4 linked regions of the Ovis aries genome follow. The protein of the gene in region 4 interacts with the protein of the main gene of each other region in a pairwise test. Links are inferred from orthologs where the notes say so. Each region holds a gene or a part of one and is shown on either strand. Other genes may lie near its edges.

The links.
Region 1: the proteins of GFAP (region 4) and NXF1 interact in a two-hybrid assay, tested with the Homo sapiens proteins (3 studies listed by BioGRID and IntAct). The two-hybrid records come from large-scale screens. The link is inferred for Ovis aries from reciprocal best matches to the Homo sapiens genes GFAP and NXF1.
Region 2: the proteins of GFAP (region 4) and ZC2HC1C interact in binary tests that used the Homo sapiens proteins (3 or more experiments, as listed by UniProt). The link is inferred for Ovis aries from reciprocal best matches to the Homo sapiens genes GFAP and ZC2HC1C.
Region 3: the proteins of GFAP (region 4) and CWF19L2 interact in binary tests that used the Homo sapiens proteins (3 or more experiments, as listed by UniProt). The link is inferred for Ovis aries from reciprocal best matches to the Homo sapiens genes GFAP and CWF19L2.

What each region holds. Positions count from the first base shown.
Region 1 is NC_056074.1:37,643,973-37,651,499, reverse strand, and holds the start of NXF1 (nuclear RNA export factor 1), read left to right. Parts: upstream 1-3,188; 5' UTR 3,189-3,301; coding exon 3,302-3,329; intron 3,330-6,810; coding exon 6,811-6,994; intron 6,995-7,206; coding exon 7,207-7,366; intron 7,367-7,527. Other genes in the region: STX5 (syntaxin-5), read left to right, coding at 1,009-1,168.
Region 2 is NC_056060.1:84,394,784-84,402,234, forward strand, and holds the start of ZC2HC1C (zinc finger C2HC domain-containing protein 1C), read left to right. Parts: upstream 1-3,112; 5' UTR 3,113-3,760; intron 3,761-4,005; 5' UTR 4,006-4,024; coding exon 4,025-5,353; intron 5,354-7,451. Other genes in the region: ACYP1 (acylphosphatase-1), read right to left, coding at 2,680-2,845.
Region 3 is NC_056068.1:15,695,112-15,702,719, forward strand, and holds the start of CWF19L2 (CWF19-like protein 2), read left to right. Parts: upstream 1-3,269; 5' UTR 3,270-3,287; coding exon 3,288-3,380; intron 3,381-5,705; coding exon 5,706-5,816; intron 5,817-6,530; coding exon 6,531-6,650; intron 6,651-7,608.
Region 4 is NC_056064.1:44,353,227-44,359,987, reverse strand, and holds part of GFAP (glial fibrillary acidic protein), read left to right. Parts: intron 1-131; coding exon 132-192; intron 193-390; coding exon 391-486; intron 487-1,277; coding exon 1,278-1,439; intron 1,440-2,791; coding exon 2,792-2,917; intron 2,918-3,077; coding exon 3,078-3,298; intron 3,299-4,078; coding exon 4,079-4,122; intron 4,123-4,476; coding exon 4,477-4,596; intron 4,597-5,837; coding exon 5,838-5,923; intron 5,924-6,534; coding exon 6,535-6,576; 3' UTR 6,577-6,761.

The sequences.
Region 1 (7,527 bases), on a different chromosome or scaffold from region 4:
TTTCCTCTCACTTTCTTCCTTGATTATCAGGCTCCACCAACTTTTCTGACCTCACAGCTCCTAAAGGTCCCTGCTTCCAGTGACTCCCTTTGCAAAGACCAGGGTTTATATTTGGTTTTTAGGATTGTATATGCAGATTAGCTGGGAAATGTTTGATTTTCCTCAGCAATGTCTCAAGTGATTGCCATTCTTCTGAGGGCTTCTCTATATCCTAAGAGACATGTTCTAATATAGGGCTTTTCTCATCCCTTGATGTTCTGTCCATATCATCAGGTTCTTCCTTTCTCACTTAGAATAAGGGTTTCCTGACCATGATTTTCTGTAACCTTTCCCCCCTTATTACAAATCAGTACTGTTTATTAGAGGCTTCCCAGGTGGCCCTAGTGGCCTGCCCATGCAGGAGACGCAAGAGACACAGGTTCAAGCCCTGGTTGGGGAGATCCCGTGGAGAGGGAAATGGCAACCAGCTCCAGTATTGCTACCTGGAAAATCCCCTGGACAGAGGAGACTGGCTGGCTTCAGTCCATGAGGTTGCAAAGAGTTGGACACAACTGACCACATATTGTTACTTAGACAAAAATTAGTAAATACCGATGAGCAAAAAGTTATGTAGACATTTTGGATTCTCTTAGTATGGGTTGGGCACTTTTATATAACTCGCTTAGGCCTGACAAGGAACCTAGGATTTATATTATCTCGTTTTTTCTTCCTTTGCAGTTGAGGGAAATGAGACTTGAGGTTAAATGAGTGGCTTAGGTTCATTAGCTAATAAGTTGCAGAGCCAAGAATTGTTATATTACCCTTCCAGAGCTTTTTCCTCTATGTGTTCATGCTGAATTACTTCAGTTGTGTCTGACTCTGTGGGACCCATGGACTATAGCCCGCCAGGCTCCTCTATCCAGGGGATTTTTTAGGCAAGAATATATACATACATAAAAAATAAAATTCAACAGCAGTCTTTTTAATCCAACATTCTTCTCTTTCCCCTCCTCCCGAACCTATCCTCAGGATCGACGAGAATGTGTTGGGAGCCCAGCTGGACGTGGAGGCCGCCCACTCAGAGATCCTCAAGTACTTCCAGTCGGTCACGTCCAACCGGTGGCTCATGGTCAAAATCTTCCTCATCCTCATTGTCTTCTTCATCATCTTCGTGGTCTTCCTTGCCTGAACCCTCTCCACTCTGAGGCACTCCATGGGGGTTTGGAACCCTTCTGGGAGGGCAGGTGGCCAGAGCTGCCACTGAGCCTGTGCAGGGTGCTTGGGAGAAGGGCCCTGTTTCCTTGGAACTGCTAAGAATGACCACTGCCCTCGGTCCCCCACTCCTTGCCTCTGGCCACCCAGCCCTCCCCTCACCACCCTCCAGCCCATGAAACACACACGGTTCTGGATTTGGACTCTGCTGTGAAGTGGCTGGAAAGGAGCAGAGGCCAACTGAGGGGCTCGTCCGGGAGATTGTCTCCACCAGGAGATTTTTATAAACCCTCCCCAGCCTGTCGCAAAGGGAACTTTGGCAGCAAGGGGAGATGATGCCTTTCCCCACCTTCCTGAGAGCAAGGAGAGGAAGTGAAACTGCCCCAGGGACCAACTTTCCCATCTGGGTTAGAATTTGACTTCTTCCTCTCCACGACATGAGGCAGGGGGCCCTGAGCCCCTCGGCGGCCTGCACAACCCCAACTTTGGCTGCAGGTGACTCTCAATCTGCCAAACGTGCTGCAGCCCGTTTTCTCCCAATTACAGCAAGACTGTCAGCCTCACTAGCCATGTCGTCATTTCTGGGTGGGAGCGCCGAAGAAGGGCCTAGGCAGAAATGGAGGGAGCCTGCTGCCCAGTATTACAACTGAAAGGGCTGGACTGATGACCCTGAGGGGCCAGGCTTTGGGCTCTGTATACACAGCTGCTTCCAGCAGGCCTAACCCAGTGCAGCAGTACTTAATTATCATGGAAAATTCCCTTCAAAGCAGGGTATACGATCCCAGAGTGGGTCTCTGATTAGTGGTAACTTCTAGGACCATCTCCAGAAGTATTTGGACCTGTTTCATCTGCATCTTCCAGTCCTACCGTTTTCCTTGGGCTGGATGAAGCAGGAGTTCTGCCTGCTGCCAGGAGTGAAAGGTGAAGAATTTGTTCCCAGCTCCAGCTGAGGCTCTTGGTCCCCTCTTGAAGCCCCTCACCAAATCCAAACCAGTCACAGGAGAATGAAGTAGAGATCTGCCTGGAATACCTACCCTACCCTGGAAGGTCAATATGCTTGTCAGTCCTGACCAGGACCCACAACCACATCATTCTGAGATCACTGGAGTACCCCAATTTCACACACCCCAAAGGAAGCTCAAGCTATAGTGACAACAGTCACACACTGGGCTGGCTGTAGTACCTTGGGGTTGGGGGCGGTAGTTATCTAGGAGAGCCCTGGCCTTTCTTAGCCCTGGCCTTTTAGTATTTGCTCTCCGTTTGACCTGTGTCCAGGGGGTGCTCTTGCTTGCATCTTAACTTTAGTTGACACACGATGTGGGTTTAAGCACAGCACATTGATGGTGGGTGGGGTGATCTGTGAAGATGATCAAAGCCTGACAAATGCAGTTTTTCTCATTTGACTCCACAACTATTGGGGGGGGGGGTGTTGCATAGATTGGAAATTTATTTCATAATATTTGCTGAGTTCCTGGTACATGCCAGGTATGGTACTGAGCCAGGTGCTGGGGAGAAAAAAAAAAAAGCCATGAATTAGTCAACTCCTTGCTCTCTTGGAGCTTACCTTCTAGTTTTCTATTTCATTTTATAGGCAAGGAAAGCAAGGCATAGATCTGTAGAAGGCAAAGGGCTGAGCTGAGACTTAAGCCCAGGCTGGATCCTCCTAGGGGTCTTGAAGCGGTCACTCCAAGGCACTGGTCTCCCATTCCTCAGAAGCCCTTCTTGTGGCCCTCCTTCCCTTTTTCTTTTTGAACCCTGGGGTGCAGTGGCCATCTCTGCTTCAGTGCCAACCTTGGAGGTGCTGCTTACCGGCCGACGATGAAAGCAGAGGGCAGGTGCGAGTACTAATCAGGGGGATCAGTAAACTAATCACTACTGGGCGGAGCGTCGGCCTCAAGCTCCGCCCCGGTGTCTCTGCTGGTCGAATGCGCACGCGCATCTCCCAGCGGCTCCGCCTATGATCGTGGGACGTCGACAGCGCGCGACACGGTCTCCTTATAAACGCGGTGGTAGCCGGCGTAGGAGCACTTCGACCTAGAGCGCCTGGGCATTCGGACGTTTGGCTAAGTGGCGGCCCGCGACGCAGCCCGCCCCTGCTTCTAGCTGTGCCATGGCGGACGAGGGGAAGTCATACAACGGTCAGTGCTGGTCCTTGGGCCGGGGAGAGGGGCGATCTGGAGCCCCGCTGGGCAGCGCCGGCCTAGGCCGCAGCGCCGGGGCGGGAGGCCGCGAGGGGCCGGGTGTCCGCGGGGAACGGCAGTGAGTGGCGCGGGCCCGGGGCGAGGCAGCCCGGGCCCTGGCTGAACTCGAGGGTGAGTGCCCGGCTCGTTGACCCCAGAATCCTGGCGCTGTGAGCACCTGCGGCTCGGAGCGGGTGGCTCGGCGGTGAGGTGACTGGATTCCTTTGAACTTTGTGGGTGGTGGATGCCTGTCAGTTCAGTTTGGCGGCTATAGTAATGTGAGTCAGTACCCTGTTCTTGGGCTGCCGGTGCCCTATTTTCTACCGTGCGTCCAGTCGGTCTTGCCCCCTCCCCCGCCGTCCGCAGCTTTAGCTTTAATATTCTAGACCTACACTTTAACTCACTGTTTTAGCCAGAACACTACAATGGGTTTAGATCCAGAGTAGTGGTTGTTGGCCATGCCGATCATATGTGAGTTAAACACTCAGGCCTGATTTTCCATCCCCTGAAGGAGGATAGAAACAGTACCTGTCTCCTGAGTTTGTCTCCATGTGTGTGTGTTTGTATTAAAACGAGATCGTGTGCGTCGAGCGCCTGACATCGGATAAACTTATTGATAAATGTTAACTGCACCTTCTAGTCGTCTATTTTTTCCCTAGGGTCGTTTCATGAGATTCAATGTTTGCAGAGTACTGGGCTTCCCTGGTGGCTCAGAGGGTAAAGTGTCTGCCTGCAATGCAGGAAACCCGGGTTCGATTCCTGGGTCGGGAAGATCCCCTGGAGAAGGAAATAGCAACCCACTCCAGTATTCTTGCCTGGAAAATCCCATGGATGGAGAAGCCTGGTAGGCTATAGTCCATGGGGTCGCAAAGAGTCGGACATGACTGAGCGACTTCACTTCACTTCACTTCATAGGGCTCTTTTTCAGAAGCCATTTCTACACACCACAGTTGAGAGGAACTCCAGAGTTTGAGAATAAAATTTATAAAAGAAACCATTAGATTGATCATACTTGTAGTTGATGTTTGTACTCAGTAGGCAAAAGGAGTATTGATTAAGTTAATGTAATCATTATGATTGGTTTACCTGGATATGAAAGAGGTCACTTGGGGTTAAGTTGATGTGGGTGGGCAGACAGCAGATTTCAGGTGACTTTTCGGAGAATGAGTTGTGTCCAGTTACCCTTGGGTCACTTCAACATTCACTTCAGAGTGGCAGTTTTTTAATATGGTTGATTTACAACATAATATTAGTTTTCAGGTATGACATGAAAGGGAACATAGTGATTCAGTATTATGATAGATTATACCCCATTAAAAGTTATTACAAAATAATGGCTGTCACCCCCCGTGCAATAATATATTATTGTTGCCTATCCATTTTATACTTAGTAGTTGCTGCTGCTGCTGCTGCTGCTAAGTCGCTTCAGTCGTGTCCAACTCTGTGCGACCCCATAGACGGCAGCCCACCAGGCTCCCCCGTCCCTGGGATTCTCCAGGCAAGAACACTGGAGTGGGTTGCCATTTCCTTCTCCAATGCATGAAAGGGAAAGTGAAATCTCTCAGTCGTGTCCAACCTTCAGCGACCCCATGGACTGCAGCCTTCCAGGCTCCTCCGTCCATGGGATTTTCCAGGCAAGAGTACTGGAGTGGGGTGGCATTAGTAGTTGGTATCTCTTAATCCCATAACCTTATCTTGCCCCTCCTGCTTTCCCTCTCCCACTGATAACCAGGAGTTTGTTATCTATATCTGTGAGTCTGTTTCTGTTTTGCTAAATATATTCGTTTTAGTTTTTACATATGTGATATCAGACAGTATTTGTCTTTTTCCGACTTACTTTACTAAGTATAATAACCTCCATGTCCATTCATGTTGTTGTAGTGGCAAGATTTCATTCTTTTTTTATGGCTGAGTAGTATTCCGTTGTGTGTGTGTGTATACCACATCTTTATCCATTAGTCCCTTGATGTTCATTTGGATTGCTTCCATATCTTTCCCTCTGTAAACAGTGTTGCTGTGAACAATGAGATGCAGGTATCTTTTTTTTTTTAATTGACCTGAAAACAAGTGAAGCTCATATGTATTCTTCCCTTTTTCTTAGTTTTGATGCTTTAAAGAAAAATCTTTATATTGGAGTATAGTTGATTTACAGCAGAGTGATTCAGTTATACATGTATCTGTTGTTTTTCAGATTATTTTCTCAGGGAGGTTATTACAGTACTGGGTAGAGTTCCCTGTGCTATATACAGTGGGTCCTTGTTGATTATCTGTTTCAGATAATAGTAGTGTGCAGATGTTAATCCCCACTTCCTCATTTAGGCATGCATCTTTTTAAATTAGTACTTTTTTTCTTTTTTCTGGATATATAATTGGAGTGAATTTGCAGGATCATATGGTAGTTCGAATTTCAGTGTTTTGAGGTGAGAACAAGACTTAAAAGAAGCCTTTCAATTGGTCGTAGTTGTAACTGACATTTGTGCTTTATAGGCAAAAGAAGTATTGTTTACTGAAAGCTGATGTAATCATTGTGATTGACTTTTCAAGATGTGATCAAATTTTGAGTAGGGGTAGTCTTAGAGAGTGAACTTATGGTTACCAGGGAGAGGTGGGTAGGGAAGGGACAGATTGGGAGTTTGGGATGGACGAGTACACACTGCTATATTCACAATGAATAACCAACAAGGACCTACTGTATAGCACAAGGAGTGCTGCTCATATTCCATTAACAGTCTATTTGGGAAAAGAATTTTAAAAAGAATAGATACATGTATAGGTAAAACTGAATCACTTTCTTGTACACCTGAAACTAACACATTATTAATCAGCTATACTCCAGTGTAAAATAAAAAGTTAAGATTTTTTTGAGTGGGGTTAAGTAGATTTGGGAGGGTGAGAAAAGCAGACCTCAGGTGACTCTCGGGAGTCTGAGTTGTATCCAGTTGCACTTGAGACACTCACTTCCACATTCTGCTTCTCCTTTCTCTAGTTCCAGTTTCTGCTTCACTTTTCTCAAAAGACTTCCCATAGTTTTCCAGTCACTGAGGTTGCCACCCCACCAAGAGGGTTCTTTCCCTGCACAGGCAGAGGAGTTTGCACAGAGGTGGCCTCCGTGGTGACTGTGTATCTCCTCTGATGGTGCAGGGTGCTGGATAGTGCGATTGCCAGGCAAGATAGCTGAAGCAGTGGTGTCTTCTCTTCTTTTTAAAGTATTCGAATATGTATTTGGCTGCGCCAGGTCTTAGTTGCAGCACACAGGATCTTTTTTTTTTTTTAATTGTGGCATTCGAACTCTTAGTCAAGGCATGTGGAATCCAGTTCCCTGACCACGGGTCAGACTCCGGGCCCTCTGCGTTAGGAATGGGGAGTCTTAGCCACTGGACCACCAGTGAAGTCCCTCCAGTGATGTATCTTCTAATTTTTGTTTTGTTTCCAAACCCAGAGCACGATGATCGAGTTAGTTTCCCTCAAAGAAGAAAGAAAGGCCGGGGCCCTTTCCGGTGGAAGTCCGGCGAGGGGAACCGGAGGTCCGGAAGAGGGGGCTCCAGCGTTCGGTCCTCCCGCCTGGAGGACGACGACAGAGACGTGGCGATGAGCGATGTCCAGGATGCTCCCCGAGTACGATAGTAAGTAACCAGTTGGTCTGGTTTGAGTTCAGCGGCCCCCTCATTTATGTGGCCCTCTTACTGCGCATGTCATTTCTCTTCCAGCTGGAAGGGAGAAATGCCAGGACCAGCTTACTGGCAGCTGATAGTTGTGGTCCTGATAACAGTGCAGGAAGATCTTTGAGAAGGCATTCCTAACCTTTGTGAATGTTCTATTCTCTCCTTCCCCACAGCACCCCCTATGCTGCACGACCCAACCGTCGGGGTGATAACTGGAATGAGCGGACTCGGATTCATGTTACTCTGCCCCTGCGGAGGGATCGGGGTGCTGCAGAGAGGGGAGGGGCTGGCACCAGCCAGGACGGGTCATCCAAGAACTGGTTTAAGATTACAGTGAGTGTCTTGAGAGGTCCACGGAGCAGGGGAGCTAGGAGAGCTAGGAGAGCTAGGGGGCTGGGCTCACAGTTAAGGTGTTCACCTCTCACATTACAAAGTCAGCTGTTTACTCCACAATCAGGGAACCATTCTTGCTGCTAAGAATCAATATCTTCAAA
Region 2 (7,451 bases), on a different chromosome or scaffold from region 4:
GGATTGAATTGTCATGCTAGGCAATATTTGAAAATAATGCTGAACAGAGTAACTAGCTGATGTTATTTCTTTAAAATTTATTTTAAAGAAACCTAGTTTCTCTGTAGCATCAAACTATTCAGTACCTACATGTATACACAGTGGGATATACAAAGATGGATGGTATATAATCTTTGTCCTTAAAGAGCTTTTTTATTTCACATAAGGGACAAATATGCATGCAAATGATGACGATGCAATGCACAACATGCAAGTTCCATGAACATCCATTGAGAGTTCATCACGAGCCAGCCCTGTGACCAAAAAATATTATGAGAGCACAAAGGAGCAGAGCGATTCCTTCTGGCTGGCAAGACTGGGAAAGCGTTCTTGGAGGAAACGGCATATTACCCAAGGTTACATAACCACAAAGAGTAAGTGATGAGCTGGGATTTAGTTCCAAGCAGTCTGAGTACAGAGCCTACTCTGTACTGAATGCTATGTTCTACTACTTTCCAGCACATGGAGTTGGAGGAAGGCCACTGAGGTAAGAGAGTATGAGTAGTCAGATGTGGCTGGACCCTGAGTGTATATTACTGAGTATATACTACTGATATACTACTGGGTATATATCAACCCTGGCTGTACATTAGGACTTTGGGGGAAAGTTTACACAAGATTGATACCCAGGCCTTAACCTCCAGAAAAACTGCTTTCCAGGTAGCCCTAAAACACAGCTAGGGTTGACTCTGGGGAGGCAAGGCATGTTTCAGCTTTATCCTGTAGGTAAAGAAGAAGCGATTGGGTAGGAGAATGACAGGTTCAGGTGTATTTAGGATTTAGGATAGGGACTTTCCCGGGGGTCCACTGGTTAACCTTTCAATGCACATTCAATCCCCAGTCAGGAAACTAAAACACACATAATAACTAGAGAAGCTCCTACACACCACAATGAAGACTCAGAACAGCCAAAAGAAGCAGATGTATAGCAGTTAGGAGAGTGGTGCCGTCCCAGTGAGGAGTGAAGAAGAAACTCACCTAGGGTAGGAGAAATGAAAAGGAAGGGACATATATGAGACACTGCAGAATAAATTCAACAGAGCCTGCTGACCCGTTAGAAGGGGTGACAAATAGGGGGGAGTGGAAGAAGACTGAGGTTTCAGCATGAGAGGGAACACTGGAGAAGTGGCTTGGGAAATAGGGAGGTAATCACAACTGTGTTTTCTGTCTTATTGACTTTGAGATACCTGAGGAACATTCACGTGCATGTGCTACGTGGGCATTTGGAAACTTGAGTCTGTTACTAAGGGGGAGAACTAAGCTAGATGCCACTGAAACATAGGTGAGAACTGAAATTCCAGCATTTGGTTGAAATCATTAAGGAAGAGAATGTCTGAAACTGCATTTATATGAGAAATAAGCGGGCTTTGGAGAACAACTACATTTGGGAGGCAAGTGAGGAAAAGACATAAATGCAAGAATATGAAAGAAGATGGAACAAGGACATGAAAAAAGAAACCAAGAAGGCACAGAGAAGCAAGTGAGAAGAGAGTTCCAACGGAGAGAAAAAAATCAATAATGTCAAAGAGTAGGTTGAAGAAATAGCAGCTTTTGTCTTTAGGGTCATTGGAAGGTCACTGGTAGACTGGCCAGTTCAAAGCAGAGACGGGGAAACCAGACCACAATGGACTGGACAATGAGGGAGAGTCAAAGAAGTGAGGGCTGCTAATGTAAAGCTTTCTATTAAGAAATCTTTCTGAGAAGAGGAGAAAGGACTGGGACCCTAAGGTGAGAGGTGAGGTCAAGGGAAAGGAAGTTTGTTTGTTTGTTTTTTTTTGTAAGGCAAAGCTAAGCATATTTTAAAACCAGAGTGTGTGGATGGATACAACTTGAAGTTAGCAAGATGGATGGGTATGGTGAGTCAATTCCTGGAAGGTACTGAAAGGGACTAAGTCAAGAGAACTCAAGGAAAGACAAAGATTTTTTTTCCTCAGAAACAAGATGGAAAGGAGTCAAGATGGAAGGAGGCACCCTGGGAAATTCTGCTAGGCTAGAGGGGAGCTTTGGGAGTTGATGACAGGCAAGCCCCATGCTGAGATAATTGGGACCTTGAAAAGAGTGACAAACCTCTGGAAATGCATACACAGAGAGGGCACTTGAGAGACAAGTAGAAGGGAAAACAAGGCATCAAAAGACTGCTTTGGAGCACCGCCAAGGAATTTCTTTATAACACGTAAAAGCTGCAATATGACATGTTGAAGTAGTAACACCGACCACTGCTGTCTATATTATTTTCCATGGGCATGAATCTTTTTAAGTAAGTAGTTACAAGGGAAAAAGAGTAAGCTGCCTGTTTCAAACAGCTTGCACAAATGAACTGAAGTATGAAGACAAATAAACTCTCTTCTGATGTTAACAAGTTATGGGATATCTTTAGGGTTGAAATCAGGTTATACTGAGTATTTTGGATCTGGTGGTTAACTTCATTATCATTACACTTGTCTGAGTCATTCTTGGGCCCTAAGAAGACAGGGCCAGAGTTACCACATGAAAGGAAAACATTATATCAAAATAATGAGATTGGCTACAAAAACCTCCCCAGGAAGAGACTGCCTAGCAAAAGCTAGCGGAGTTGCTAAAATCTGACGCAAGCTCCAAACTATGTGCGAGGAAAAGCATGGACAGAGTCGACAGCCGTACCTGGGGCCGGTACCAAGCAGCCGAGCGTGCCGAGAAAGGCGATCAGCAGGCCCACTCCCGCTAAGAGGAGGGCCGACACCGGAATCTTGCGGCAGAATGACCTGAGGGCGCATCTAGGCGCTCCTTTTTTTGCCAGAGAAGGGCACACCCCAGGATCGGAGAGCATCGCTCTGAGAAAAGTACAAGCTCTTTGATGGAGCCCCAGAAGAGCCTCTCCCACCCCCTACCCACGTTCCCCAAGGGCAGGGCTGGACTGAGCTGCAGAGTTGGCGGGACACCGAGTCTAGTGACCCTGCTGGACCGCGCCCGCGGCCCCGGCGGCCCCGGGTGAGCGGACTGCGCTTGCGCACGCCCCGCGGAATTCGCGGCGGGGCGGGGGTGGGCGCGCGCACGTGCCCCCGTCTCCAGGCAACGGGAATAACAGCTGCCCTCTGAGAGCGCCTGCGCGGCCGGCGGCTGCTGGAGGGCGTGTGGTGAGGAAGCTTGAGTCCTGTGGCTTCCCCTAAGCGGGAGCCGCCTCCAAAAGAGCCTCAGGTACGCGGAAGGGCGGGAAGGCATGGGGTCAGCGCATCGATCTCCCAAGGGCCGACGGACTGAAGAGCCGAGGCCTTGTCTCCGAAGCGGAGTCACAAGTCGGGGACGTCCCGGGTGACCCTCCAGGACAGAACGCAACTTCCGCGTTCCGATCTAAACCCGCGGTGGCCGGATCGAGTGGTCCTTGCGTGAGGGTTTGGCAGCCAGGCACCTGCTGTATGCCCTGAGCCGGCTCTGTGCTCTTTAGGATCAAGCACGGTTCCAGCAGGAGGGAAGCCCCGAGAGTTTTTGTGCCGGTCACTTACCAATGGGCTGCAGTTTTCTCGCCTATAAAATGATGGGGCTGAACTCACAGTCCAACGGCCCCTCAATTCCAGTCCTGTAACTCTGGGCGAATCCCCAGCGAGGGGAAGCTGCTTGTCCTGTGTCACAGGCCTAAAAACTGACTTTCAATCCAATAGCTCTTTCCATCTGCTGTGGAGTGTATTATTGTGTATGAGGAAGCGTCACTGTGTATGGCAGAGGCTGGTAGTGATACAAAGGAAAGGTAGGTGGCAGGAACACCTGTATCACACTCCTTTTTCTATCCTCAGAACCTAATAAGCACCCACAGAACACAGTAAGCATTCACCAAATGCTTATTGAATGAAAGCTCTGGTGGACCCAGCACCAGCGTCCCTAAAAAGTCTAAGGGGAATTGTGGGTAGGCAGATGTAGAAACAGTTATACTTTAACAGTGGAGGTAAACCTCAGACAAACTCCTCACATGTGTCTGGTTTAAATCTCCCCTAGGCTTCAGTCCAGGCTCTGAATGGCTGGTCTCCAGTTGGCGTTGCCTCTGCCTATGGGCGTTATGCTCCCACATAATAAAAGGGATGCTCCAGAGCTCCATTCAGCTAAGCAAGACCCCTATGGAAAAGGTGACTCTTCCCAGCAGTCCTCTACAGGGCACCCGAGGAACAATTTCCAGCAGAAGCTTTTGAGTAACCAAGAACTGATGCTGGATAATCTCTACACTCACCCCAAGTGGAACACCTGCACAAAAGCCCAGAGCTGTTCGTATCCTCACTGTGCTGGAATGAGCCAGCAGGATTCAAGGAACAATCCCCAGGGCCAAGCCAAGGGTTTGTTTTACACATCAGACCCTCAGTCCCGGTATCCCAAAACAAATGACCAAGAATTCATCCCCTTGACAAAGAAGCGAGTGGGGGTTGACCGAGCATACCCTCTGAAACCTGTGTTTCATCGGAAGTCCCATAGTACAGGTGAGGCTGGCACTGATGGAGACCGGAACGCCTCTCCAAGAATCCCTGAGCCCAGAAAGTATTCGTACAGTAGCTTTGGTTCGAGGAACTGGGTGAATTCATCGATGGTTGGTCCAGTTGCTGCCACTCAGGAGGAAAGGGTCATGGCAAATGCCAACAGGACGGAGTGGATGCAAATCCAAAGACTAGAAGCTGCAGGGGAGAGCTTAGGGGAGGAAATCCGCAGAAAAGAGACTCTTCTGAGGGAAAAGCTGAAGAAGACGGAGGAGGAACTCAGAAGGATCCAGAAGGGAAAAGAACAGGCTGAGGAAAATGAAAAAAGAGAGCTTCAGAGAATGGTGCTCTCCCAGAGGAGAGTTAAAGATAATAGCATCACCGCATACAAACCTATCTTCTCTCCAGCACTCAGGTCTGAGGAGGTCTTCAACAGAGACACAGGAGAAGATGAAACTTGGGGACAATCTCGAGAGAATTCTAGTCCATTCCAGTTCTCTAATTATAGAATTCAGAAGCTCAAAAGGGAAAGACTGGTGGCAAGCAATAACAAAATCCGAGACCGAGTCTCAAGGCCATTGAAGCAGAAGTTTTCTCAAGCTACAGAAGCACCGCTGAGCGCTTTGCAGAGATACACCCGCAATTCTAGCTCATCCAGGGCACCAGACTCCTCAGGCTCCAGCTGTTCCACTGAAGAGCCAGAACTGGGCGAGTGCAGCCACTGCGGCCGAAAGTTTCTCTTGCTCAGGCTGGAGAGACACTCCAGCATCTGCCGCAGGATGCAGGGTTCCAAGAGGAAAGTGTTTGACTCCTCTAGGGCCCGGGCCAAGGGCACAGAACTAGAGCAGTACTTGAACTGGAAGGGTCCAGCTTCAGTCAAGGTAACAAGGGCCTTATGGATTTGCCATTGAGTGGGGATCACTTTTAAGAGCCTGTTATGTCCTCATCTGTTTTCTTTAGAAAGATTTCATGTGTCTTACAGGGAGAACGAATTCACATTTGATTTATTGATTACTACTGTGTGCCAGTCACAGTGATGGGAGGTTTTCATATGTTCCTCACTACAGCCCTGTGAAGATTTCATTATCTTATCAGTTCAATAATCAAGTCTCAGGTTAAGCTGCTTAAGATCACAAACAGTTTTAAATGGCAGCATATAAATCTGGGTCAGAATGACTCCAAAATCTAGACTTTAAAAATATGTTGTTTTGATTGTATAAGTAATAAACACTTACAGTAGAAAATTTAAGAGAATGAAATATATATATATCATGAAGCATTTCACTACCCTGACAAAATTCCTCATTCTTTATAATATATTCTACCATCACCCCAAATTAGGACTTGTTACCACTCCTGGAACTCTAATTTTTCCAGTTTGGCTAATTTTGATATACCTTCTTAGTAAATAGATGAAACGCACGATTAAGTTTGGAATTCTTTTTCTCCCCATTTAGAGCGTAAACAACTTAAAGGTGGAGGACTTTATTTTTTTAATAATTTTTATTGGAGTATAGTTGATTTACAATGTTGTGTTAGTTTCAGGTTTACAGCAAAGTGAATCAGTCATATATAGGTATAGATATCTCTATATCTATACATATATAACTCTTTTTTAGATTCTTTCCCCATATAGGTCATTGCAGAGTATTGAGTTCCCTGTGCTATTCAGCAGGTCCTTATTAGTTATCTATTTTATATATAGTAGTCTGTATATCTCAATCTCAATCTTCCAATTTATACCCCCCCCCAACTCCTCCTTGGCAACCACAGATGTTCCCTACATCTGTGACTCTTATTTCTGTTCTGCAAACAAGCACATTTGTACCATTAAAAAAATTTTTTTCCACATATAAGTGGTATCATATGATATGTGACTTTCTCTTTGTTCAGTATGACAGTCTCTAGGTCCATCCATATTGCTACAGATGGCATTATTTTATTCTTTTTTTTATGGCTGAGCAATATTCCATTGTGTATATGGACCGCATCTTTATCCACCCCTCTGTTGCTGGACATTTAGGTTGCTTCCATGTCTTGGCTATTCTAAGTAGTACTGCTGTGAACATCGGGGTGTGTGTATCTTTTTGAATTATGGTTTTCTTCAGATATATGCCTAGGAGTGATTTTTTCTTCTGGGATAGAGGACTTTATTTTTGGTGAACATTCCTAGCTGCAGAAAAACTAGGTTGTAAAAAGTGACTTCAAGACAGTTCCATATGTTTGGGAGAACTTCATAAGCACATTTGGACAGTCAGATCGGGAGAAGATTGTCTGGTTATACCTTGTCAAGGTTATACCACCGGGATTGTAAATAAGTGTTTCTCAAAGTATGGCATGCTGACAAACACTTTTTATTTTAGTAATTTTAATGTGTATTAGGAAAGTAAACCATAATAAGCCCTTGATTTCTAGGAATATTGACTTTAAAGAAAAATAGTAAGGAGGATAAGGTGAAAGTGGTATGCAAATAACCAAAATGTGGGAAAGCCTAGACCACATGATCTCAAAGCCCTGTCTCTAAACTATGAAAGCATTATTTTATTTTCATTTCCTTCCAACCCTCCCCACTGCTGCGCTAGCATTTCTTGTCCATTAGCACTTCATAGTTTATGTGTGTATTTATGTGATGGCTGTTAAGAGATGTTTTTTGCAGTTAGAGTTATTTCTTTTAGTATGGGAAGTGACTACAAGCAAGTGGTTTCTATGTTTATCGATGATCTCCCTGAAATCCTGTTGCCAATGAGAAGTCAACATTTTGCTCTTGCAGATAATGATATGATCACAGATTCCTGTTCTTTCCTGTTTTCTTTCTGGTCAACCCAATAATCCACTGGGGAGTTCTCTGTCCCACTACAGTGGTTCATTTCTGGCCAGAGCCAAAAAGAATCTTGTATTTCTTAAATTCCCAAATACCATAGCAATGAAGCAAAACAATTGGATTTCTGAGATCAGATGCCCTGGCTTTGTGGAAACTTG
Region 3 (7,608 bases), on a different chromosome or scaffold from region 4:
CCTCAGAGCAGTTTTTCAGGGTTACTTGGGATACTGTCTCCCAGCCTTGAAATCCTAAAAGTTTCCGTTCAATAAAACGTAACTCTTGACTTTTAGGTTGTGAATAACTCTTTAGTCAACATACCTCAATATAGTTTATGTTGTCAATTACAAGTTGGCGCTTACCTGTCAACTACAAATTGGCACTAGCCAAAAGCATTGCCTCTGACTGAACAACAAGGGCATTTACCATCTGCCTCTGCAGAGACTGAGCCCTGTGCTACCGCAGCTGTTGACCTTCAACACCCCTAGAGCGAGTTCAGGGTGGAATAAGGCACTTTGTGCTTCAGGGAATCTGGTGCGACAGGTCTTTAGATTGTTGTTGTTAAGTCGCTCAGTTGTGTCTGACTCTGTGCCCCATGGACTGCAGCACGCCAGGCATCCCTGTCCTTCACATCTCCTAGAGCTTGCTGAAACTCACGTTCATTAAGTTGGTGATGCTATCCAACCATCTCACCCTCTGTTATCCCCTTCTCCTCTTGCATCCAGTCTTTAGACAGTTGGATATTTTCAGGAACTGATTTCATGATCCTAATCCTTGCATCTCCTCATATCTAGAAAAGCACTAAATCGTTTCTTAATAACATCAGATCCTTGTGACTAGCAGAATACCTCTTGCAGTAAGAACTTGATTGCATTGAACTCTCCTTCACCAAAATCTTATTTATTGACTTTCCCCAGCTGCCTCTTTGGTGCAGATGATGCCACCCTTATGGCAGAAATCAAAGAACTAAAGAGGCTTTTGATGAAACTGAAAGAGGAGAGTGAAAAAGTTGGCTTCAAATTCAACATTCAGAAAACTAAGATCATAGCATCCAGTCCCATCACTTCATGGCAAATAGATGGGGAAACAATGAGAGACTTTATTTTGGGGGGCTCCAAATTCACTGCATATGGTCTCTGTAGCCGTGGAATTAAAAGATGCTCACTCTTTGGAAGAAAAGTTATGACCAACCTAGATAGCATATTAAAAAGCAGAGACATTACCACCAAAGTTTGTCTAGTCAAAGCTATAGTTTTTCCAGTTGTCATGTATGGATGTGAATGTTGGACTGTAAAGAAAGCTGAGACCTAAAGAAATGATGCTTTTGAACTGTGTTGTTGGAGAAGACTCTTGAGAGTCCCTTGGACTGCAAGAGATCCAACCAGTCCATCCTAAAGGAAATGGTGTTAGAATCTAGATTTCTTCTCCCTGCATTGTTTCAGCCATAGGCTGGTGTAATCCAGCAATTGAGTCTGGCAGTTGGGTGGCTCTGCAGCCTTCTTTCTGATATGTAACTATAAGGGGAAGGATATTGTAAGGGTAAGCTCAACATTCAGAAAACGAAGATCATGGCATCTGGTCCCATCACTTCATGGGAAATAGATGGGGAAACAGTGGAAACAGTGTCAGACTTTATTTTTTTGGGCTCCAAAATCACTGCAGATGGTGACTGCAGCCATGAGATTAAAAGATGCTTACTCCTTGGAAGAAAACTTATGACCAACCTAGATAGCATATTCAAAAGCAGAGACATTACTTTGCCGACTAAGGTCCGCCTAGTCAAGGCTATGGTTTTTCCTGTGGTCATGTATGGATGTGAGAGTTGGACTGTGAAGAAGGCTGAGCACTGAAGAATTGATGCATTTGAACTGTGGTGTTGGAGAAGACTCTTGCTTGAGGGTCCCTTGGACTGCAAGGAGATCCAACCAGTCCATTCTGAAGGAGATCAACCCTGGGACTTCTTTGGAAGGAATGATGCTAAAGCTGAAGCTCCAGTACTTTGGCCACCTCATGCGAAGAGTTGACTCATTGGAAAAGACTCTGATGCTGGGAGGGATTGGGGGCAGGAGAAGGGGACAACAGAGGATGAGATGGCTGGATGGCATCACGGACTCGATGGACCTGAGTCTGAGTGAACTCCGGGAGATGGTGATGGGCAGGGAGGCCTGGCATGCTGCGATTCATGGGGTCGCAAAGAGTTGGGCACGACTGAGCAACTGAACTGAACTGAACTGAAACACCAGATGTTGCTGTTCAATCACCCAGTCACGTTCTATTCTCTTAGACCCCATGGATTGCAGCATGCCAGGCCTCCCTATCCCTCACCATCTCCCATGCCCAAGTTCTTGTCTATTGCATTGGTGATGCCATCCAGCCTTCTTATCCTTTGATGCCCCCTTCTCCTTCACACCAGATAGTAGATGTATTTAACACAGTCAAAGGAAAATAGGTGTGAAGTGTAGCTCCTGTACAGTTAAGGGGCAGAAGAGCAAATTTAGTTACGTTCAAAGTTAGGAGTTTTTAAAGTAAACAAAAACAAAAAAAGAACAACTAGAAATATTCAGGCCTGCTCGCTGTTCTCTTTTATCTTCTTTATTCTCTGGAAAGGGAAGAAAAATACCCATTCCTCTTTTTTTTTCACTTGTTACTGAGACAGTATGAACAAACAGTATGAGGTCAGAAAAAATGTTACACTTTAAACAAGTATAAATTATGAAGTGCAATGCGAAATTCACATGACTTTTTCATATACTGTGCTTAAAAAAAAAAAAAAAATCCACCAAAGCAAACTGCTCACTCTTCAAAGCAAGTCTTCTCTCCTGCTAGCTTGCACTGTCTTTCTGGCCAGCCTTCCTTTAGTCCATTCCTCCAGCACAGGGAAACCTCTTTGGCGATAAGGGCACTTTGGTAGAAATCTTTACAACATGTACCTTTAATCTAAGGAAATGGCAACCCACTCCAGTGTTCTTGCCTGGAGAATCCCAGGGAAGGCGGAACATGGTGGGCTGCCATCTATGGGGTCGCATAGCGTCAATGCGGGAGACCCGGATTCGATCCCTGGGTCGGGAAAATCCCCTGGAAAAGGAAATGGCAACCCACTCCAGTACTCTTGCCTGGAAAATCCCACGAGTGTGGTAGGCTACAGTCCATGGGGTCGCTGAGTCGGACACGACTGAGCGACTCCACTTCAGCTGTGACATGCCGTCAGTCCCGTGCAAACTGCGTAATACATGTACGCTGACACAAGTCTTGTTCAGGGCAACCCCAATACACGAAGGAGTGTAACCCCTTGACTTAACCTTCGGTTTCTTCCAAACCTAAGGGGTAGACAATTTACCGAAATAATAAGCAACGGTTTGCGCATGCTCTTTTGGTGGCGCAGATTCCCTCCTCCCCCTAGTCGGAAGTCCCGGTTTGTTTACTAAATTACGACAGTCGTAAACCGAGATTTTTGTGCCGGCTTCCTAGCTTTACGACAACAACTATGGCGGCTGCCGGGGGTAGATTTGAAAGTGCGAGTAGCATCGAAGAGCGTAAAGAACAGATTCGAAGTGCCAGGACCGAGGTGTTGCGCCAGGTACCTCAGTTTTGAGGCTTTGGGAGTCATTTAGATTTGAGAGTGGAGGCTTTCTGGGAGTCAGGCGTCTAGCTCTCCTGCCTCCCTGCACCTTTTCCTGTTTCAGTTCCTCAGTATCTTACCGTATCTAGTTGTGTGGGGATAGATGTTTTCCTTTGGGATGCTCGCACACTGTTGGTATCTTCTGCCTCTTAGATGGTCTGGAAGGCTCCAGTTGCTCATATTCTTTTCCAGAAAACTTGTTCCTTTCCTCTGACGTTCCTTATCTTTTAAAGCATCCGTGCTTGACATTTCTAGCACCTGATCACCTGTGCTGCGCACTTTCGAGGGACCCCACTACTTTCCCTGCATATCTTACAGCCTAGGTCCTCCGTCTTGTTATATCTGAAATGAAATTTTCCGTTTTCAGAAACTCGTGTAAGGCACGTTAGAGTAGATCGTTTCATTCTCCTTTTAAGTTATTTGTGTCAGTTATCCGGCTTATTGCAAACCCGTACTGAACCAAACAGCGACTGAGACAGAGATCTAAAAAATTTAGCTCCTCGAAAAAAGTTGAGAAACGTGTTTTTCATTAAGATTGAAATGAGTAGAAGTAAAATAAGGAAGGGAGGAAGTAAACTGTACTATTGACTTAGCTCAGAAGATGTGAGAAGTGTGGCAGGGGAAAAGAAGTGTGAAGGGGAAAAGTTGTAGTTAGAGAACAGTGTAAGGTGAAACAAGTGATGATCATTATTTTATCTGTTTTAAGCTATAACCGTTTAAAACACATTTAAATGCTGCTGCTGCTGTTAAGTCGCTTCAGTCGTGTCCGACTCTGTGCGACCCCACAGACGGCAGCCCACCAGGCTGCCCTGTCCCTGGGATTCTCCAGGCAAGAACACTGGAGTGGATTGCCATTTCCTTCTCCAGTGCATGAAAGTGAAAAGTGAAAGTGAAGTCGCTCAGTCGTGTCCGACTCTTCGCTACCCCATGGACGGCAGCCTACCAGGCTCCTCCGTTCATGGGATATTCCAGGCAAGAGTACTGGAGTGGGTTGCCATTTCCTTCTCCATTAAATGCAAATAAGGAACCGGTGTAGGAGATAGGAAGGAGAAGTTATAATGACTGCAGTCAGATTTTACAGGGGAAGAAAAGGGCAATAAGTCTTACAGAGGTGAAAGATTGGTGGTCCCTGATTTCAACATATGTAATATATGTGTATAATAAATATCCTTCATCCTTGTCTCTGATATTTCAGAGGGAGTTTTTGGAGGGAGTGGATTTGTAAACTATGATAAATTTTATAGTATATCTATGTACAGAATTTTGAGAAGGACCAATCCTAGCTTTGAAATTTGGGGAGAGAATGAAAAGGCAGGAACAACTTCTTAGGAAGCTGTTACTTAGTTTGACTGTTTTTGAATGATAAAAACTTATCAATATGATCATTTGTTTTTAGAAAGGTGATTCTTTCTGAAGCATTTTGAGGGTGTGGGTAGAGGGTTATGGACATTGCAGATTGAGGGTATGGAGGTCAGTCTCCTAACAGTTACAGAAGTATCAGGCGCTGTCAGTGGAATAGCGAAGGGAAAAGAAATTCAAGTCATTTTTAAAGTAGGGAGCTTAGGGGACAGGAAGAGGTCTGCAGTAGGTCCCAAGATTCTGTCCTTGATTGGTGGCTCATTTCACTGTACTGTGCTGTGCTTCCTCATGCAGTCCTGTCTGACTGTTTGTGACCCTGTGGTCTGTAGTCCACCCGGCTCCTCTGTCCATGAGGTTCTCCAGGCAGGAATACTGGAGTGGATTGCCACACCCTCCTTCAGGGGATCTTCCAAACTGAGGGATTGAATCCAGGTCTTCCCCATTGCAGGCGGATTCTTTACTACCTGAGCTACTAGGGAAGTCCGGTTCCTTTCACTAGTGATTGCTAATTGGTAATGCAATTGGTAATGTGGAAGGAGAATTTGTTGTTTTTAATCTTTCTTACACTTTGGTAGGGGCTTCCCAGGTGGTGTTAGTGGTAAAGAACCCACCTGCCAGTGCAGGAGACGTAAGAGACGCGGATTCAGTCCCGAGGTTTGGGGAGATGCTCTGGAGGAGGGCATGACAGTCCGCTCCAGTATTCTTGAGAGGAGAATCCCATGGACAGAGGAGCCTGACAGGCTACAGTCCATGGGGTTGCAAAGAGTCTGTCACAACTGAAGTGTCTTAGTATGCATGCACACACACTTTGATAGAAGCAAATTTGTGGTGAGCCTTGCACGAAAGTGGGGGAGGTTTCTGTTTTGCTTTTTTGGTGAGAAGTAGGTGGGTCAGTTGTTAATTTTTCTTTTTTCACGGTTTTAGGCTAAAGCCAATTTTGAAAAGGAAGAAAGGCGTAAAGAACTGAAACGACTTCGGGGTGAGGAAACATGGATGCTACCTGATGTGATTAAGAGAGTTGAACAAATCTCACAGGTAAATACTATTAGGCTTACTTGGTGTAAGCTTTTTTTTTTTGCACTTATTCAAGTTAATACTGGAGGAGCAAGTTTATAAACTCTTTTTCACAAGTTAAAGAATGAATATCACATAGTTGACAGTACTGAATATTTGTCTTTCTGGCTAGAGTAGTATATATTGATATTTTGGACATGATATTGGAAAGATTGTATTAGTTGAGTTGGCTGGTAGAAAGCTTAGATCCAAGTTTCCAGTCCACTTGTGGTAAGTTTATGGATCTAAAATGTTATGTATTTTAAACTTAATGTGATGCTTTTTTTTTTAAGGGGGATGTCTCAATTCTTGCTTTCTCTTTCCACAGTTTATGCTGTCTTGTTAGATTTTATATGGTTCGTAATCTATAAATTCTCTTGGGCCCGTTGAAGGAGATACATATACACTGTGTTTTCATATATATGTTTGATTATATCTGTCTGTCAATGTATTTACAAATAAATTAAAACTCCTTATATTTTTCCAAGAAATTTTAGCTATATGGTTTATTAGTAGTGCATATATTATAGAAGCATGTCAAAATTTTTTAGAAGAAGCTATTTATTTAATCATATTCCTTGTCTCCTTTCATGAAAGATTTAAAGTGTTTTAGGACATAGATCTTTTCCTCAAAATACTTACTTTTTAAAGTAAGCTAAAACTAAATTCTTGCCTCTTCAAAATGATTATTTATAGGAAGACTGTGTGAAGAAAAAGAAGAAAAAAGACAAGCATTCAAAAAAAGTAAAGAAAGAGAAGAAAAAAAAGAGCAAGAAACGAAAGTGTGAAAAAAATGAGTCAACCGACAGTTCATCAGTAAGTATGTGCTAAAACTAACCAAAGAAGCTACTTGAGAATATTGTATCTAAAGAAGCAACATACTGGGACCTAAAATACTTATGAGAACTTAGGAAATATTACTAGTTAAGATACACGCCCAAGAAAATGCTTGGGAGTCATCTACTTGGAGGTGTACAGGAAATGGTAGAAATATGGACCTTAGGTTGTAGATAAGGGCTAGAGGATGGAGATGTGGTTGGAGAATCATTGCTGTTTAAAGCCATTAGCATGGATGAATTGCCTTGGGAAATTGAAAAGAAGGAAGAATACCAATACTGAGAAGCCAGACAGCAAGTAAAGGATTTTAGGCAGAAGCATTTGGAAAATTAGGAGAAACAGGAAAGAGTGAAAGGGGAGTAAAAATTGTACCATAAAATAAGGCAAAGAGTACCAAGACTTTGTTTGTTTGTTACCTCAGTTTGTTTTTCATAGGCATTAACAATTAAGTGTTTAAAATGGGTTGTGTTTGTGTATTTATCTTTGGGACAGAAAGGAAGAGAGTGCTGGATCTGTTGTGTCTCTAGCCAGGTTTTGGATGAGAGGACTCACAGAACAAAGGAAAGCAAGGCAAACCCTCATGGTTATTTTCAGGAAGAGAAAAGTACGTGGTGCTTAATGAGATGAGTTGGAGGTGTTTAGTGATAATTGCACTCCTAGGTATGATCTTCAGAGGATTATACAGTTGAGTCTTCATAAGAAGGCCAGACTGGACTCCAAAAAGTCAGTCCAGTCTGGCCCTCTTGTAGTTTCAGAAATTAAATTTTGGCAGTATGCCCTGAGATGCTAATTGGCTCATGAAAGCTTGTTTTATATAAGAATGTTGTAGTTTTAGTCGCTAAGTCATGTCCGACTCTTTGCTACTCCATGGACTACAGCACACCAGACTCTGTCCTCCACTATGTCCTGGAGTTTGCTCACATTCATATCCATTGAG
Region 4 (6,761 bases):
TGCCCCTCACTCCTCCTTCTGCTCCACTGCTCCTGAGGGTGGGGGAGTATCTCTCTGACAGAGGGATCAGGGGAGGGGTCCCCATAGTCGTCAGAAGAGCCCAGACCCAGGAGTGTATCTCCCTACCTCAGGCTCCAGGATGAAACCAACCAGAGGCTGGAGGCTGAGAACAACCTGGCTGCCTATCGACAGGTCAGGGTGGTGGGGAAGGATCAGGGAGGGGGAAAATGTTGATGGCAGCCCACCCAAACACAGTCCCTAAGCCCAACCCTCCAGAGCAACGTGCTCTCCCTGCCCCCCACCAGCCGCAAAAGGAGAGATCAGATTAGACTAGGGAGCAGAGAGGATGAGTCTGGGGTCAGAGCGGCCCTTTGCCCCGCCCTGCTCCAGGAAGCAGATGAAGCCACCCTGGCCCGTCTGGATCTGGAGAGGAAGATTGAGTCTCTGGAGGAGGAAATCCGGTTCTTGAGGAAGATCCATGAGGAGGTAAGATCGGGAAGGAGGGGAAAAAAGGCCAACACAGAGACTGGAACTGAGGGAAAGAGATGGGGAGACAGAGACAGATATTCAGAGAGAGAAAGGGACACACTGACAGAGAAAGAAAATGAGAGAGAGACAGAGAAAGAGAGGCAGAGAAAGACTGAGGGAGGCAGAGCTAGAGACAGATAAGAGAGCACCTCCAGCCCCTAGTAGAATGCACCCAGACACACCCTCCACTTAAAGTGGGCCCTGTTGCCTCATTCTTTTTCACTACAGCCCTGTGAGATAGGGATGGTTCCAGTGTTATCTCCTTTTCACAGAGGAGAACCCTGAAGCCCAGAAAGGCTAAAGAATGTGCTAAGGTCACATAGTTGGTCTCTATGACTTCACTCCCTCTGCCATCTGTTTCCATTGAAATGACAGCCATACATTAAAAAAAAAAAAAAAAAAAAAGACCCCGCTGAGCTCTGACTTCAGATAATAGATTCAGAATCCATGGACTCAGGGAACCCAGGAACCCATAGGGACACCCACACCCCAGGACTCAGACGTTCTTTCATGAGAACACAGACATGCTTCCAGTGCTCCTGACTTCCGGGCCTGGGAGGAGGACATCCCGGGGCCCCCAAACTAACCTGCTTCTTCCCTTATCCTGGACAACGCCATTTCCTCCAACTAGGAGCATCCCATCTCCCCTAGCCAACATCCGTGTCCAAGGAAGAGGGCATGATGCTAGGGGGAAGCCCCAGTTGCAGCTGGTCCCTGAGGCCTGGCAACCCTTCTCTCACCCTGGCCAGGAGGTGCGGGAGCTACAGGAGCAGCTGGCCCAGCAGCAGGTCCACGTGGAGATGGATGTGGCCAAGCCTGATCTCACAGCGGCTCTGAGAGAGATCCGCACACAGTATGAGGCAGTGGCGTCCAGCAACATGCAAGAGGCGGAGGAGTGGTACCGGTCCAAGGTAGCCCTGACTTTGGGGCAGCCTGCCTTCTCCAGGCAGCCCTCCTGGCTCCATACAAAAGAATCAGGGAAGGAGGGTGGAGGAAGCTGAGAGAGGATCCTCTCTGAGTGACTGACCTTCACCAAAGAAGTGAGGTGACTTGCCCAGGGTCATACAGGCACTATTACTTCCAATAAGTACTTATTAGTATCTGTTGCGATTGACTACTAGCCAACACTCTTGTGTTTTAGGCCCTGGGCTTTGCAAGGATTATCTTACCATGAAGTAGGTACTGTCCTTTGATAGATGACAGAACTGAAGTCCAGAGAGGTTAACCAATTTGGCCAAATTCACACAGCTCCTAAGCAATAGAGCTGGATTTCTAACCCTAGCTGTCTCACTTAAGAGCCTGTATTCTTATCTTTTTTTTTAACTGTTTATCTGGGGGGCTTTCTTGGTCATGCCTCTAAGCATGTGGGATGTTAGTTCCTTGACCAGGGATCAAACCCACGCCTCGCCCATTGGAAGGGTGGAGCCTTCACCACTGGACTGCCAGGGAAGTCCCAAGCCCACATTCTTGATGCTTCTGCCATCTGCATCCTGGGTTACTGAGTATCTGCTGCATGCCAGGCTCTGCCCTGCATACAGAGACACGTCTGACCAGGGGGATGTGATGTCACTCAGCTTGATGTCTGTGAAGAACGCAGCAGGGCAGGGTTTACACGCAACGCGGAAGCAGGACAGATTTCATGGGAGGGCAGTGGGGCCAGGCGGGACTGGCAGCCTACGAACATACAGAGAAGAGAGAAAGGGCATTCAGGAAGGGCATGCAGGACACAGCCTGAGTAGAGGCCATAAAGCACAGAAAAGTGGGGGCCCGGAGATCCTGGCCCAGGGCATGGAGCTGAGGAGTGTAAGTGGCAGAAGTCAGGGATGGTTCTGAGCAGGTTAAGGCGTGATGGAACCATGAGGGATTCAGAGCAGGCTGAAGGAGAGAGGGTTATTAGAACCTGGTCTCTGCTCACCAGAGCTCCCTGTGTGTGACCTAGGAGGACAGGATTCAGTCCCGAGGATGGAGCTACTGGAGAGTCTGGGCTCTGTGACACCCTCTGCTCATTCACGCGTTCCCTCATCAGGCACTGAGCTAGATGCTAGAGAAGTAGCAATGTCGTCTGTGTCTGTGTCCATGGGCCACGGGTGACTGTGAATAATCCCACCCAGTGCCAGTGGCGTGGGGTGGGCTGGAAAACAGCCGTACCGTCCGGCCCATCTCCCTGATCCTCCAGACCGCGTACCAACCCCCCGAGCCCACTAAGCTCCCGCGATATGCGGCCCCAGACCGCCTTCCAGCATAAAGCCCTCTCCTCATCTAGTTCGCGGACCTGAACGACGCCGCCGCCCGCAACGCGGAGCTGCTCCGCCAGGCCAAGCATGAGGCCAACGACTACCGACGGCAGCTGCAGGCCTTGACCTGCGACCTGGAGTCCTTGCGCGGCACGGTGAGCAGGGGCGGGGCCGCAGGCGGAGGAGGGGTACGGGTGAGCGAGCCGGGAACCTGGGACCTACAGCCCTAGCAGACGCTGAAGGACTGGCTCGGGGCGGAGCTCTGAAAAGTTTCTTGGGGCGGGGCCTCGGGGAACGGTCCGGCTCCACCCACAGAACGAGTCCCTGGAGCGGCAGATGCGCGAGCAAGAGGAGCGCCACGCGCGGGAGGCGGCGAGTTACCAGGAGGCGCTGGCCCGGCTGGAGGAAGAGGGGCAGAGCCTCAAGGACGAGATGGCGCGCCACCTGCAGGAATACCAGGATCTGCTCAACGTCAAACTGGCCCTGGACATCGAGATCGCCACCTACAGGAAGCTGCTGGAGGGCGAGGAGAACCGGTGAGCCCAGACCGGCCGCCTGCCCTACTGCCCCGCCCCAGAGTCGCCTTGCTCCCTTCACGAATACATGTGTGCTCGGACATGTCCAACTCTTTGCGACTCCCATAGATGGTAGCCCGTCAGGCTCCTATATCCATGGGATTTCCCAGGCAAGAATACTGGAGTGAGTTGCCATTTCCTTCTCCAGCGGGTCTTCCCGACCCAGGGATAGAACCCACGTCTCTTTGTGTCTCCTGCTTTGGCAGGTGTGTTCTTTACCACTGCGCCATCTGGGAAGCCCCATCAGGGACTGTCTTATTCAGCCTCGTGACCAGCCCCCTCCTATCCCAGCGCCCAGCACAGTGCTCACCTAACACACAGTTGGTATTCATAAATGCCTGATGAATGAATGGATGGATTCAATTCAGCCCATGTTGATCAGATCCTAGGGTAAGGACTTGGGTTATCTTCCAAACTAAAAGGCTCACTCCCCACCCTCCCAACAAAGACTGGACTTCTTTTCTGCTGACCAATCTCCTCTGCCTCCTGGGAACTCTCTTCACTGCTCTCCCCTCCCCTCTGTCATCCTCAGAGCACTCACTCTCTTTTGAGTGGAGGTGTTCCCCCAGAGCTCTTACAGCGCGGGGAGTGTGTTGGCTGCTGGAGAAGCTAAGAGATGGAGGTCCGCCTTTCCTGGCAAGGAAGAGGGCCTCGAAGCTATTATGGTGACCTTGGACCAGGATCTGGCCTGGGAGTGTCCTCTGGCAGGCTGGTCACCCCTCTCCTTCTGCTGTCTTTCAGCATCACCATTCCTGTTCAGACCTTCTCCAACCTGCAGATCCGAGGTCAGTAGAACAGGGTTTTGTGGGCAGAGTGTTGGATTCCCGCCCCCTTCCCCAGGCCTGTGGGTTGCTCTTCTGGTCTGAGCCCGAGGACCAGGGCAGAGGGGCCCAGTGCTCTCTGTGGGGACCTTCAATATTCATGGCAGAACTTCCAGCCAGAACACACCATTCCAGAGCATTCCAGGTGGGGCTTGCAGCCACTCCTGTCCTGCTCTGCCCTTTGTCCCTCCTCCCATGCCTACTCCCCATTCCACTGCAGAACTGAGTGAGGGTCTTAACCTCTCACCTGTCTGCAGATCCCTGTCCAGCTGAGTGTTTGATGTTTGTGTGTTTTTTTTTAACTGCTTGTCACTACAGGGGGCAAAAGCACCAAAGAAGGGGAAAGTCACAAGGTCACAAGACATCTCAAAAGCCTCACAATACAAGTTATACCAATTCAGGCTCACCAGGTTGTAGATGGAGCCCCGCCGGCTCTCGGTTAGCTGCCTGCCTTTTAGACATGGTGCTTTTTTCACCTTAATAGGGAGCAAGCTCACCAAGCCCACTTTCCCCATCTTCTTGAGCTCCCTCCTCCCAGGTTTCCCTAAAGGGCCAACCCTGTGTCATTTCCCCAGCAATCTCAGCGCCCAGTCCAGGACCTGGCACAGGGTAAATGTACATTAAAGTAGTAGAGTTGGCCAGTGTTCAAGGTGCTAAGTCCTCGGGTACTCAGCTCAGATGCTCTGGGCCTCTGAGCAAACACCAGCTTCTGCCTCACCTCTTCCCCATCACCAGGAGGGCCCCTAGAGTCTCACGGTGCCTGGCAGCCAGGCTCTTGGCCTGATTCCTCTGTCCCCGAGGCTCGGTTGTTCAGCTCAGGGCTGATTCAGCCCAGAGGATTATTTCCCTCTAGACTGCTGCTCTTGGAGTGAATAAAGTTTTATGTCCCCTGCTCTTAATATTAAACATTAGTGAGTGTGACATGTTACATTTTTCTCTCTGCAGGGGGGAATAAATTGCTTCTTACTTGTATGTGGCCCTCAAATAATTCTCAGCTGAGGGAAAAAATAATTCTTCTGGACTAGAAATTTAGGAACACTAGCTATGCATGTCCGAGGGCTTAGTTCAGTATCAGAAGAGTTAACCAGCAGACCAGGTAGAGGCAATACTGCCACATGCCAGACAGAAAAGGGTCCTAGAGAAGTGGCAGAGAGAGGCAGGAAAAGGGAAGAGGGACGGGAGAGGGACCCATGTGTACGGAACATGAATACGTGCCCATTGTTTTACACACATTGTTTCAGTTAACTCACTACTTCGACCTAGAGAAGTAGGCAGCAGTATCCCCATTTTGCAGATGAGGACACTGAGGTTGGAAGAGGTAAATTAACTTACCCACAGTCATGTGGCTGAGCTGGGACTCGAGCTCTGGCCTGCCTGACTTCAGTAACCACATGCTCTTTCCTTGGTGTGATACTGGGTTGTCAGGGAGCCAGGGGCCAAGTGAGGAACTGCAGAGGGGCTGAAATGCAGCCAGGCCAGGACAGCAAGCAGGGAAGTGAGGGCTTGCTTGGCACTGTGGGGACTTAGGAGGTTGCCAGCCCCTCTGGGAGAGCCTAGGACTTCTCTGGTTGGATAGGCTTTTGTACTCACGATTAGGGGTCTCAGGGGGAAACCAAGGGTGGGAGAGGATGTCTAGGGCCCTGAGAGCCTATGGAGGCCTCCTCTCCTCATGTCTGCAGAAACCAGCCTGGACACCAAGTCCGTGTCAGAAGGCCACCTCAAGAGGAACATTGTGGTGAAGACCGTGGAGATGCGGGATGGAGAGGTGAGGAGGGCAGGCCCAAGATTCTGGCCCCAGCAGGCTCTGGGAGAAAGCCTGGACTGGCATATAGAAGGTTCTCCATAACTCCCAAGAGTTCCTCTGGGAGGCTCTGGAAGAGGGGAAGGAGCCCAGATATAATTCCATTCCCCAGTCCCTACACTAAGGGGAGCCTAGATGCTTAGGCCACAGGTCAGGGTCCTGACTCTGGCTTTCTTTCTCCCTTTCTCACCCTCAGACTCAGGTGCCCCCACAGCAGGCCTGGGGGAGACAGAATGAAAATTAAATTTAGTAACTTTCACTCCCAACGTTCAACTTTCAGCTTGGTGAAAGGGACCTGGCAGAAGAATGGGAAGAGGAGATTGGGCATATCCCCTCCCCACCGTACCAGCAGAATTAGCTAATCTTACAACAGCAGCTCAGCATGTGCCAGGCAGATGTTTGCCAGATGTTTGACAGGATTAGCTCGTTTCCCCCTCTGCTGCGTGGCGGCATTCTGGTTACTATCATAGAAAAGTTGAAAGGCTGGGAACTTGTCCCAGGTCACATTGCCTAGCCATGGTGGACCTGGAGTCTGTGTGAGCTCCTAACTATGGCACCTTCTCTGTCCCCTTCAGGTCATTAAGGAGTCCAAGCAGGAGCACAAGGATGTGATGTGAGCAGGACCCATCTGGCGGTCACTGCCCCACCGTTTGAGGCGTCTGCAGCAGGAGTCGGGGTAGCTGTCTCTTCTCTGCTAGTTAATTTCCCCAGAATTGAGTTCCCACCCAATCCAGTTGCTCCTCTTCCTGCTCCATCTCTATGCCAGCTTGCCACCCTAGGCTCCATCAGCATTAAGCCTGTC